Arabidopsis thaliana: one gene and its partner. The protein of the gene in region 1 interacts with the protein of each later gene in a biochemical or structural test. Each region holds a gene or a part of one and is shown in the gene's direction. Other genes may lie near its edges.

Region 1 (4,869 bases):
TCCGGGCACCGATTCCGGTGAAAGAATCACCGTCGATAGTCTCATCGAACATGGATCTTTTTGTTTTCTCACCAATAAAAAGCAATCGAGGCTCATGTTAAAGATACAACAGCTTAATGCTATGATAATTAGCAACGGAATCCACTTCTTTTCTTCAATTTCATTCTCAAATCTCTGCAAAGATTTCTATAAATCAAAACTCAAAAGAAAACAGATCGGATAAGAAGCATTAGAAAGCGAGATTGCTTTCACTCTATCACCAATATGTCTCATATGAGAATTATTAAAAGCAAAACATGAAAATTAAAAAAAAAAACAGAAGAAAAGTCGATCTACATCGACGAGAGAACCCAAGAGCCAGCCAATGCCGGTTATGTGAACAAGACGCTGCCGGACTAGAGCCAACCAACACCACTACTGGAGCCGGTGATGTCGGACAAAATATCCGAAAAGTCGGGACGGCTAACTACCGAAAAATATTCGGTCGATGAAACTTAATGTTTATGTAATGATTAATATGTTTCACAATAAATATTATCATTTTTGAATAAATTTTTGTTTTGAAATATTTATCGTTTTAGGATTCCAATATCGCTTTGATTAGAAATATATAGTTTGTTCCTTCTTATAATCAATAAACAAGTAATATGTTGGAAGTCCAAAAGCCAATTTATTGTTTGGGAGGTAAAATATCTGGACTTATTTTATAAAAATTCTGAATTTATTTTTGAATACCGTTTATAAATAAAAGAATGTTTTGTAACAACGACACTTTATTATTTAGGCGTGTATTAGAAATTTTTCTTTAGTTTGTGTGAACATCTTTACAGCCATATTTATATTGGAAATGCATTAAGGAGTTGTAGATTATAGTAGTAATTAATTGTTCATATTTAAGCCACAAAAAACATATGTTAATTAGCGGAAAGCATACCTCGTAAATGACATGTTTGTCTTAACTGTGAGCACTCACTTGGTGTTGTTAAGCTTTGAAAATGATCATATCAAAGTAAGCATTGTCGTAGTATATGTATTTCTGTTACTTTTCAAATCTTCCCTCATATTATATAGCCATTGATATCATAGAGGATGTGAGTTTTAACTTAATATTTACCCGTTTGAAACTAGCTATTTACTTAAATATGAATTATAATCTAGTTTAACTACCAAAAACATCATATGGGGACAAGAAAAAGTAATAAAACGTATGGAAAATTTTGTAGATGTTATAAATGGATAATTATTCAAGTGATAATCTATCACTTTGATCTTATCTCTTTATCCAATTTAATTACTTTGTCTCTAAGTGATTTGCTTCCAAAATCTAAGTGTAGTCTATCCTATTTCTATCTTATCCTATCATATAATCTTCTATATATATGTGAGTCCGATGTTGTAAAGCGTACGAGAGAGAGTAATGAAGAGTGAAGTGTTATATTGTTCTCTCGTCCACTTCCACTCTCTCTTTTATCTCTTACTTACTTCTTCGTAAGATCATTACATATAATAAATAATATTATTTATGTTTGTGTTATATTTAATAACAGTAAAAAGTTTTAAAACGTTGAAAAAATTAGCCGACATAGAATACAAAAGAGGGTTAGCATCGGGGGAGAAACGTGGACCAACATGATACACCCTCCAAAATAGTCCCCAAGTTGAAACATTGACATGTTTCGCTTTTTCTTTTCTGTGTATACTTTTTTTTTCTGTGGGTCACATTATTTAATATTTGTATACAAGCAGCTATTTTACATGGAGATTTCCTGTCGGTATAGCGTCCTCATTTCTCCATCGCTTCCACTTTTTTCCTATACTAATTTGATCTAATTAATTCATATGTCAAAACATTAAGAAAATGAAACTCGTAATTCATACTTGAATTTAATAGATTAATTAAAATGCTATTTATTGGCAAAATAAACTCGGTTTATATCTAAATTTTAGAATCACTAAAACTTTTTGCCCAAAAAAAAATAAAAATAAATCACTAAAACAAAAAACAATCAAAAGAAAACCCATGTTGGTAAATCGGATAATGAAAATAATTAGAATCCCCGTCCTTTGTGTATTTTGGCGTAGCATGAAACTATATAATAAACATGCATTCATTCTTAGACTTCTCGTAGCTTATCAACAACAACGCGCTCGATCTCTCTCAGCCTGTCTGACAACTCTTTCTCTAGTTCTAGAGTTTTCAATTTATTGTTGAGCCTTTTATTAAAAAAAAAAAAACAAGAACAAAAGAAATGGTTCAATTGTCAAGAAAAGCTACATGCAACAGCCATGGCCAAGTCTCTTCGTATTTCCTTGGTTGGGAAGAGTACGAGAAGAATCCTTACGACGTTACCAAGAACCCTCAAGGCATTATCCAGATGGGTCTTGCGGAAAATCAGGTAAACAAATATTATTCAACAGCATGTGATATATATATACTTATGTATATCATGACAGAGAGACTAATTTAAAGTATGTTTAATTTTATTGGATTTCTGTAGCTATGCTTTGATCTACTAGAGTCATGGCTTGCACAAAACACAGACGCAGCCTGTTTCAAGAGAGATGGCCAGTCTGTTTTCCGGGAACTCGCTCTCTTTCAAGACTACCATGGCCTCTCTTCCTTCAAAAATGTAAGATTATTAATTGTATTTATCAAATTTATTTGTAGGTTGCTGATCTTGCTCGAATGATTTTCAGGCCTTTGCTGATTTCATGTCAGAAAATAGAGGAAATCGAGTTTCTTTTGATTCAAACAACCTTGTGCTCACTGCTGGAGCCACTTCCGCAAACGAGACTCTAATGTTTTGTCTTGCAGATCCCGGTGACGCTTTCTTGCTTCCCACGCCATATTATCCAGGGTTAGTCCACTGTTTGCTTACACGTAAAATTTCCATCATTCCTACGAACTTGACTTAACTAAAACTCATGTTTATTTTTGTACTTCAGGTTTGATAGGGATCTAAAATGGCGAACCGGGGTTGAGATTGTACCAATCCAAAGCTCAAGTACTAACGGGTTTCGCATAACGAAACTTGCACTCGAAGAAGCCTACGAGCAAGCCAAGAAGCTTGACCTAAACGTCAAAGGAATACTCATCACCAACCCATCTAACCCTTTGGGTACGACAACAACCCAAACCGAACTCAACATTCTATTTGATTTCATCACCAAGAATAAGAATATACATTTAGTAAGTGACGAGATATATTCGGGCACAGTATTCAACTCTTCAGAATTCATCAGCGTCATGGAGATTCTAAAAAATAATCAACTCGAAAACACCGATGTTTTGAACCGAGTCCACATTGTTTGTAGCTTATCTAAAGATCTAGGCCTCCCTGGTTTTAGAGTTGGAGCCATTTACTCCAATGACAAAGATGTCATCTCTGCCGCTACAAAAATGTCAAGTTTCGGCCTTGTCTCCTCCCAGACACAATACCTACTATCCTCATTATTATCTGACAAGAAGTTCACTAAGAACTACCTTAGAGAGAACCAAAAACGGCTCAAGAACAGACAGAGAAAGCTCGTGTTGGGTCTAGAGGCCATCGGGATCAAATGTCTGAAGAGTAATGCGGGACTCTTTTGTTGGGTCGACATGAGACCTCTCCTTAGATCTAAAACGTTCGAAGCGGAAATGGATCTTTGGAAGAAGATTGTTTACGAAGTGAAGCTCAACATCTCTCCTGGTTCGTCGTGCCATTGTGAAGAACCGGGTTGGTTTAGAGTTTGTTTCGCGAACATGATTGATGAGACATTAAAGCTTGCTTTAAAGAGATTGAAGATGTTGGTTGATGATGAAAACTCAAGTAGAAGATGCCAAAAGAGTAAAAGCGAAAGACTAAACGGTTCGAGGAAGAAGACGATGTCAAATGTCTCTAACTGGGTTTTCCGACTATCGTTTCACGACCGTGAGGCTGAGGAACGATAGTCCGGTTTTTGTTTTGAAGTTCTTTTTTTTTGTTTCCCACACATTGCAAGTGATTCTGTAATTTTTTTTATCACGAGAGAGAGTGTAAAAAAATGGAAATGCAACGTGCTTACTCTGATCCTAGATTTTAGAAAACCGTTGAAGACTTCTTAGAGCAAGTCCATCGGCAGTTTTTAATGGGTTTCTAATGGGTTTCTAGCTAATTAAAAGTCCAAAATTAAATGAAAACCCAACTAAATAATTAGGATCCATCCCAATATTAGGTTTTTTGGATGGGTTTTTAGACGGCGACGTGGTCGACTGTGAGTCGTCGGAAAACAAAAAAAATCACAACACTCATGTTTTCCTTTTTCCTCTCGTTTTTCACTTTTTTGTTTTGTCCGACGGCCGGCGATTCGAATCGATTTGATCTCCGGTGTATCGAACATGAAATCGGGAGAGAAGAGCCAAATCATCGACGACTTGGTTCACCAATTCCATTCTTCGAACCATACTCATATAAGAGTTTCTTGGCTTCTCTCTAAAACTCTTCTAATTTTCTGATATTGTTGATTATACATCCTTACCCGGATGTGAAGCCAATGGCATATGCAAACAATGATTAAAAATGTTTTCTCTTCCTTTAAGCTTATCCAGCAACAGTTATTCTCATGTAGATTCAGTTTTTCCCTTTTTCAAATTTTTTTGTTTTAAAAACCCACTTAAAGATTCCACCAATGAACCATAAAATTTTCAAAAACTCTAAAAAATCTCTAAAATACAAAACTATCCAAATTTATCAATAAAAAAATATATAAAAACTTTACTTAGAAATTAATCACTGGATTTGCTCTTAGTCCAAGTATTTTTTGGATTTGGTTTCTCTTCCTTGTCCAAGTCGGTCCCAAACTTTTGTACTCCAACTCTCGAAGAAGTCACACAACTCAGCTTCATGTACT
Region 2 (5,476 bases), on another chromosome or scaffold:
CGTAATGATCTTACGAACGAAAGACAGACACTTTAACAGAATCTGTTATAGATTTGTCAACGAGATGAAGAAAAAAAGTAGCCTGACAAAATTACAAGCATGCGTATTTGCAGAGGGCTATACCAAGAACAACATAAAAAGACTCAAGGGAAGCTGGAACAGTAGGTGCAAAATGAGGATGATGCAGTATGTCAGAGACATGAACCATATGAAGTTCCCTAAAGCTTGGAAATTCAAGTTTAAATTTAGCTTAGAGGAGATCAAAATGACAAAAAACAAGTTCTGTTGTGAGGTGGAATTCGAGAAAGCTGCAGTGCATGTTGTTTGAGAACTTGAAGAAACTTTTGGGACATAGGCTTATGCAAGATGTTTCTCGCGAAATTGAAGCAGTGCATGGGAAGGAATGAGAATTAATGTTCAAAAGTCTGGATCTGGCTTGTCAAAGCAGACTATGAAGCCAAACTATGAGTGTGTGTTAATGTCTATGGAGTTGGCCATTCAACAAAGGATATCAGAAAGTCAAAATTGAGCTGGTTATACTCTAGACTTTTCAGGAACTTCACTTTCCATTGCAGCTATTTTGAAAATGTGTACAGAAGGTGAGGATATATGGTTACATTTGGAGGACGACTTGATGAGACATTCTAGACTACTTCACATCTCTCTCTTACAAAACACTAGGACAGTGAGGGTGTTGTGTTTGTGGTTCCAACATGTGCACATGCACCTACTTGATTGTGTGATGTGGACTCGAGAGAACATAGATGTGGAATAGTGGACATGTTTCAGACTGAATTACACAACTCATTTTTGGTGTGGAGAAGTTCCACATAAAGCACAAGTGGAGATTTAAGCTTGTACATCCAGTTTGGGAGTTGGAGTTTAGTTTGGATAGTGTTAACTCTGGACAAAGAAACTCTGCTACAAGTTCCAAAGTACAAGACAAATTGTCAACTAAAGAATTTTCTGTCAATTTACAGCAACTGGCCACAGTTTTGCACAATTGTGAGACACAAATTAGTGATTCTACAGAAAGTGAGATTGAAGATAGCTTGGGTCATCTTTAAAATCAAGTAATATTTGTTGAGAGTTTTTTTGATAAATATATTTGCTGAGAGTTGGCATGATCATTCTGATTTGCTAATGTTAAAATTTGAAGTCATTAATGTTATAGGTTTGCTAATGCAAATGCAATTATAAGCATGACGTGACACGACCCACATGCTCCTCCACATTTCATTATTATACACTTGTTTTTCCACTAATGTCATGTTACTTTTGGAGACTTGCTAATTGAATCATTATTTGTTGGCACAAAAAGAACCTATATTTATTCAATTACGCAGTATAGTAAGATTATTTATTTAATTATATGTAATAAAGGAGAAAGCTTTCTTATGGTGTGATGAAGAATGTCTTTTTTTTTTCATTGTTAGAGAATCTTTATAATCATTAAGATTTTGGTTAAAACAAAAAAACGCGCGAATTCCGGCTATTGGTTTATCGAAACCTCTGGCTACAACGTTGGCTTTGTCATATTTTTTTTTTGTTCAAATAATTAAAAGTCAATTAATTAGTGTCACCATCACAAAATATTAAGAGATCCTCCACACACAATAAAAAATTTAGAACAATTCTTTTCCATTTTTGGTTTAAAAATAAAGTAATCACCAATTTGTTATTATTGTTTGTTATTTTCCTTAATCAATTGACCAAAAAAAAAATCCCACAACTTAATTTCACCATTCTTTTTGATGTTCTCTGTATTACAATTGTCAGAGAAGTTTTCTGGATGATCTTTCCTCTAAAGTTTAAAGCTTTTTTTGGTCAATTCTTTTAAAGTTTTGATTTTTTTTTGGTTAATTCTTTAAAGTTTCTTTCTTTCTTAAAGAGGGATCATTATGATGATGATGATGATGATCTGATCTGTACATAAGAGAATTAAAGAACACCAACAACAACAAAAACAGAGGAAGAAAATAAAAACCAAATTTTTCTTGTTGCAATCATTTGAAATTAAATTCAATTCTTCGATTCTTCCGAGCTGGTTCTCGAATTGGGTTTGCTGCAAATTGTGAATCCAATAAAATTTGTTCGTGTTGTTGTGTTGATGGTGATTTGTTAGGGTTGATCCGATCAAAATTTCAATTTTGTATCGTAAAACGATGAGGTTTCTAAGCCTCGTCGGAAACTCATTCGGTTGTTCTGCGTCCGGCGAACGCTTAGTATCAGCGGCCAGAGACGGTGATTTACAGGAAGCTAAAGCTCTCTTAGATTACAATCCAAGACTCGCTCGTTACTCTACTTTTGGCGTTCGTAACTCTCCTCTTCATTACTCCGCCGCTCAAGGCCACCACGAGGTAACTGTAATTACTTGAAAGATCAATACTTTGTAAGATTAGAGATTCTAAAGTTCTGACTTTTATGGTGATTGGTGATTTGGGTTTTGTTTATCTTCAGATAGTTTCTCTGTTGGTGGAATCAGGAGTTGATATTAATCTCCGGAACTACCGTGGACAGGTGTTGTGATTAGTGTCTTTTTGTTCTTTGCATTATTGATTGGTTTTGAAGTAGTCTGAATACAAGAAATTTTTGGAAACAGACGGCTTTGATGCAAGCTTGTCAACATGGTCATTGGGAGGTTGTTTTGATTCTGATTCTTTTTGGTGCTAATGTAAGACTTTGATCAACTCTTCTGACTGATTGTGATTTAAAAATATGTCAGGGATATTGGAACAATGATGATTGTGTTTCTTGATTGTTCGGGTTTTAGATTCACAGATCAGATTACTTAAATGGTGGTACTGCTTTACACCTTGCGGCTTTAAATGGTCACCCTCGGTGTATCAGGATCTTGCTTTCGGAGTATATACCAAGTGTTCCTAATTGCTGGAGCCTTTTAAAGAATAAGAAAACTTCAGTTGCTGGATTCGATTCTAGGTCAAAAGTGTTTTTTGTAAAGAATTGAGGTAATGCTGTAGTCACTTGATGATGATTAGTTGAATGTGTTCTTTGGATGTTGTGGTTGTAGTGTTCTTCACGAAGTGATCAACAGAGCAGCAGATGGTGGAATCACACCTCTTCATGTGGCGGCTTTGAACGGACATATAGAGACGGTGCAGTTACTCTTGGATTTGGGAGCTTCGGTTACTCAGGTCACTGTGGAAGATGGAACTACTATAGATCTTATAGGTTACTATCATATGCTCTAATTGATTAACTTTGACAATGAGTGAAGAGATTCTTTATGTGAAAGACTTAATTTTGTTTTTCGCTCCGGCTCTTTGATTTTATATATTGAAGGTGCTGGGAGTACAGCTCTCCATTATGCTTCATGTGGTGGAAACACGCAGTGTTGCCAGGTATACATGCTTAACTAGACAATCATGATGCTTCTGTTATGTTTCGTTTAAAGTTCACATATGAATTCATTTGGCATTTGTTTTTCTCAGCTTTTGATCAGTAAGGGTGCTTGTTTAGCTGCCGTAAACTCCAACGGGTATTAGATCACTCTATTTCTCAGCATGCTAAATCCAATCAACCAGTTTGATATAGACCTCAATGTCTTAATTCGCTTCATGTTTTGGTTTTAGATGGACACCAATGATGGTAGCTCGTTCATGGCACCGAAACTGGCTGGAAGAAATCCTGAACCCAACAACAGAACAACCACAACTCCATTTGCCAAATGTCCCCTCTCCTTTCCTCTGCCTTCCTTTAATGAGCATTGTCAATATTGCTCAGTATGTAAACTTTACACCTAACTGAAACACCCTATATGATCGCATGATCTCTGTGGCTGATTGGTCTTTTTTCGTTTGTGGATTTCAGAGAATGCGGCTGGCGAGAAAACGATTGTCTGACTCCATGTCGTGACCCTTGTGCCGTTTGTTTGGAAAGAAAATGCACTGTGGCAGCAGATGGTAATGTACCACTTTCACTACCGAAAATGATCTTTGCTTAAAACATTGAATTGATTGTTGTGTGTGACATAACAGGATGTGCTCATGAGTTCTGCACAAACTGTGCATTATACCTAAGCACCACAAGCATAACATCGTCAAAGACCTCAAACGTCACACCAGGCTCTGTCCCGTGTCCTCTCTGTCGCAATGGCATTGTATCTTTCACCAAACTTCCCCATACAACGGCAACAACAAGAACATCAACATCATCAAGAACAAGCATCTCCTTGTCCTTCTGCACTTGCTCCTCTGATGTCTTAGACACAGCTCTCCTAACTAACCCTCACTACAGTTGTAAACCGGTTGTGTCAAGAACGGGTTCTCGAACTCCACAATCCGCTAGATCATCAGCGTTTCGGTCTCTTAGCTGCCGCCGGTTTCCTCCAAGTCTCTGCCTTGGTGGCTCAGATGTTGATGAACCTCGAAGCCGGTTAATTGGTGGATCATATTCAAGATCCGGTGTAGGATTCAGGCGATCAACGTCGCAGGTTGAAGGGAAACGTTCTTGGTTTTCTGCACTTAACCATTGTGTTACAACCGGTGGAAGTGCTTGCTAACTCAAACTCAATCCTCTTTTTTTTCACCTTTTTTATAAAATTTTTGATCCCAGTTTTTTTGGGATTAAAAATGTGCTAATTGATTCTGTGAATGGTGTGGTGATTATTCATTTTGTAATAAGTGAAAATGTTGTAATACAAATAATTAATTTGGCCTTGCCATTACATTGAAATGGTGTGTATATAAAATTATGTTTGAGAGTGAATTTCTTGCGTAGCCATTAGCATCGTTAAGGTATCACTTATCAAACACTTAACAGATAAACGAAGATTACATATATTTAGATAGACGTTTCAGAGGAACTAATAACTGAGAAATTATGGGATTAGTAGTGAATTATACATAAAGCTCAGGAGGAATAGAAACAACAAACCAATACAAAATAAAATACAAAAATGAAGAGAAGATAAAAGAAAATAAAAGAACAATACAAAACTAATAAGCCTTGCAAGGTCAAGAAAAATCTTCTAAATTATAGAAGAACTTTCTGATTTAGTAGAAACAAAACTATTTTTTGTTTTTTTCTGTTTTCATAGAGAAAAAAAAAAGCTCAGCGAGGATAATGCCAATGGAACACTAATGTCCAAGAAATCTTCTTCTCCGTGAGATAGTCACACGTTCGAAAGTACAACCATGATGTAGTGGAGAAGATAGAAAAAGTTGAAAGAGAGAAACGATCATCATTATGATCATAAATATCATGATGATTATGATGATGATCATCATGATCCTAATCAAGAAGAAGAGGAATGATATATATGATGCTTTTGCTCTGAAGTGATGATGTGAGAGGGCAGGTGAAGTTTGTGTTTATATAGGGAAATAAGAGGATAAAATTAATGGAAGCTAGACCAGTACTATTTAAAACAAAAAAAAAACATTAATGGAAGCCATAGAAATCGTAAAACAAAATCAACATTAATAAAAATATACATACATTTACAAAAAGGTTA

What was found.
Region 2: of the proteins of ACS4 (region 1) and XBAT32, one has a biochemical effect on the other in vitro, tested with the Arabidopsis thaliana proteins (one study listed by BioGRID).

The regions. Positions count from the first base shown.
Region 1 is NC_003071.7:9,716,853-9,721,721, reverse strand, and holds ACS4 (1-aminocyclopropane-1-carboxylate synthase 4), read left to right. Parts: upstream 1-2,127; 5' UTR 2,128-2,249; coding exon 2,250-2,396; intron 2,397-2,498; coding exon 2,499-2,630; intron 2,631-2,697; coding exon 2,698-2,858; intron 2,859-2,946; coding exon 2,947-3,931; 3' UTR 3,932-4,120; downstream 4,121-4,869. Other genes in the region: AT2G22820 (uncharacterized protein), read left to right, coding at 297-491. UniProt on the Arabidopsis thaliana protein: 1-aminocyclopropane-1-carboxylate synthase (ACS) enzymes catalyze the conversion of S-adenosyl-L-methionine (SAM) into 1-aminocyclopropane-1-carboxylate (ACC), a direct precursor of ethylene.
Region 2 is NC_003076.8:23,393,835-23,399,310, reverse strand, and holds XBAT32 (uncharacterized protein), read left to right. Parts: upstream 1-1,660; 5' UTR 1,661-2,165; coding exon 2,166-2,360; intron 2,361-2,460; coding exon 2,461-2,520; intron 2,521-2,602; coding exon 2,603-2,674; intron 2,675-2,773; coding exon 2,774-2,940; intron 2,941-3,031; coding exon 3,032-3,192; intron 3,193-3,303; coding exon 3,304-3,362; intron 3,363-3,452; coding exon 3,453-3,499; intron 3,500-3,593; coding exon 3,594-3,743; intron 3,744-3,831; coding exon 3,832-3,923; intron 3,924-3,998; coding exon 3,999-4,522; 3' UTR 4,523-4,726; downstream 4,727-5,476. UniProt on the Arabidopsis thaliana protein: E3 ubiquitin-protein ligase that mediates ubiquitination of ACC synthases (ACS). Negatively regulates ethylene biosynthesis probably via ubiquitin-dependent degradation of ACS4 and ACS7 enzymes.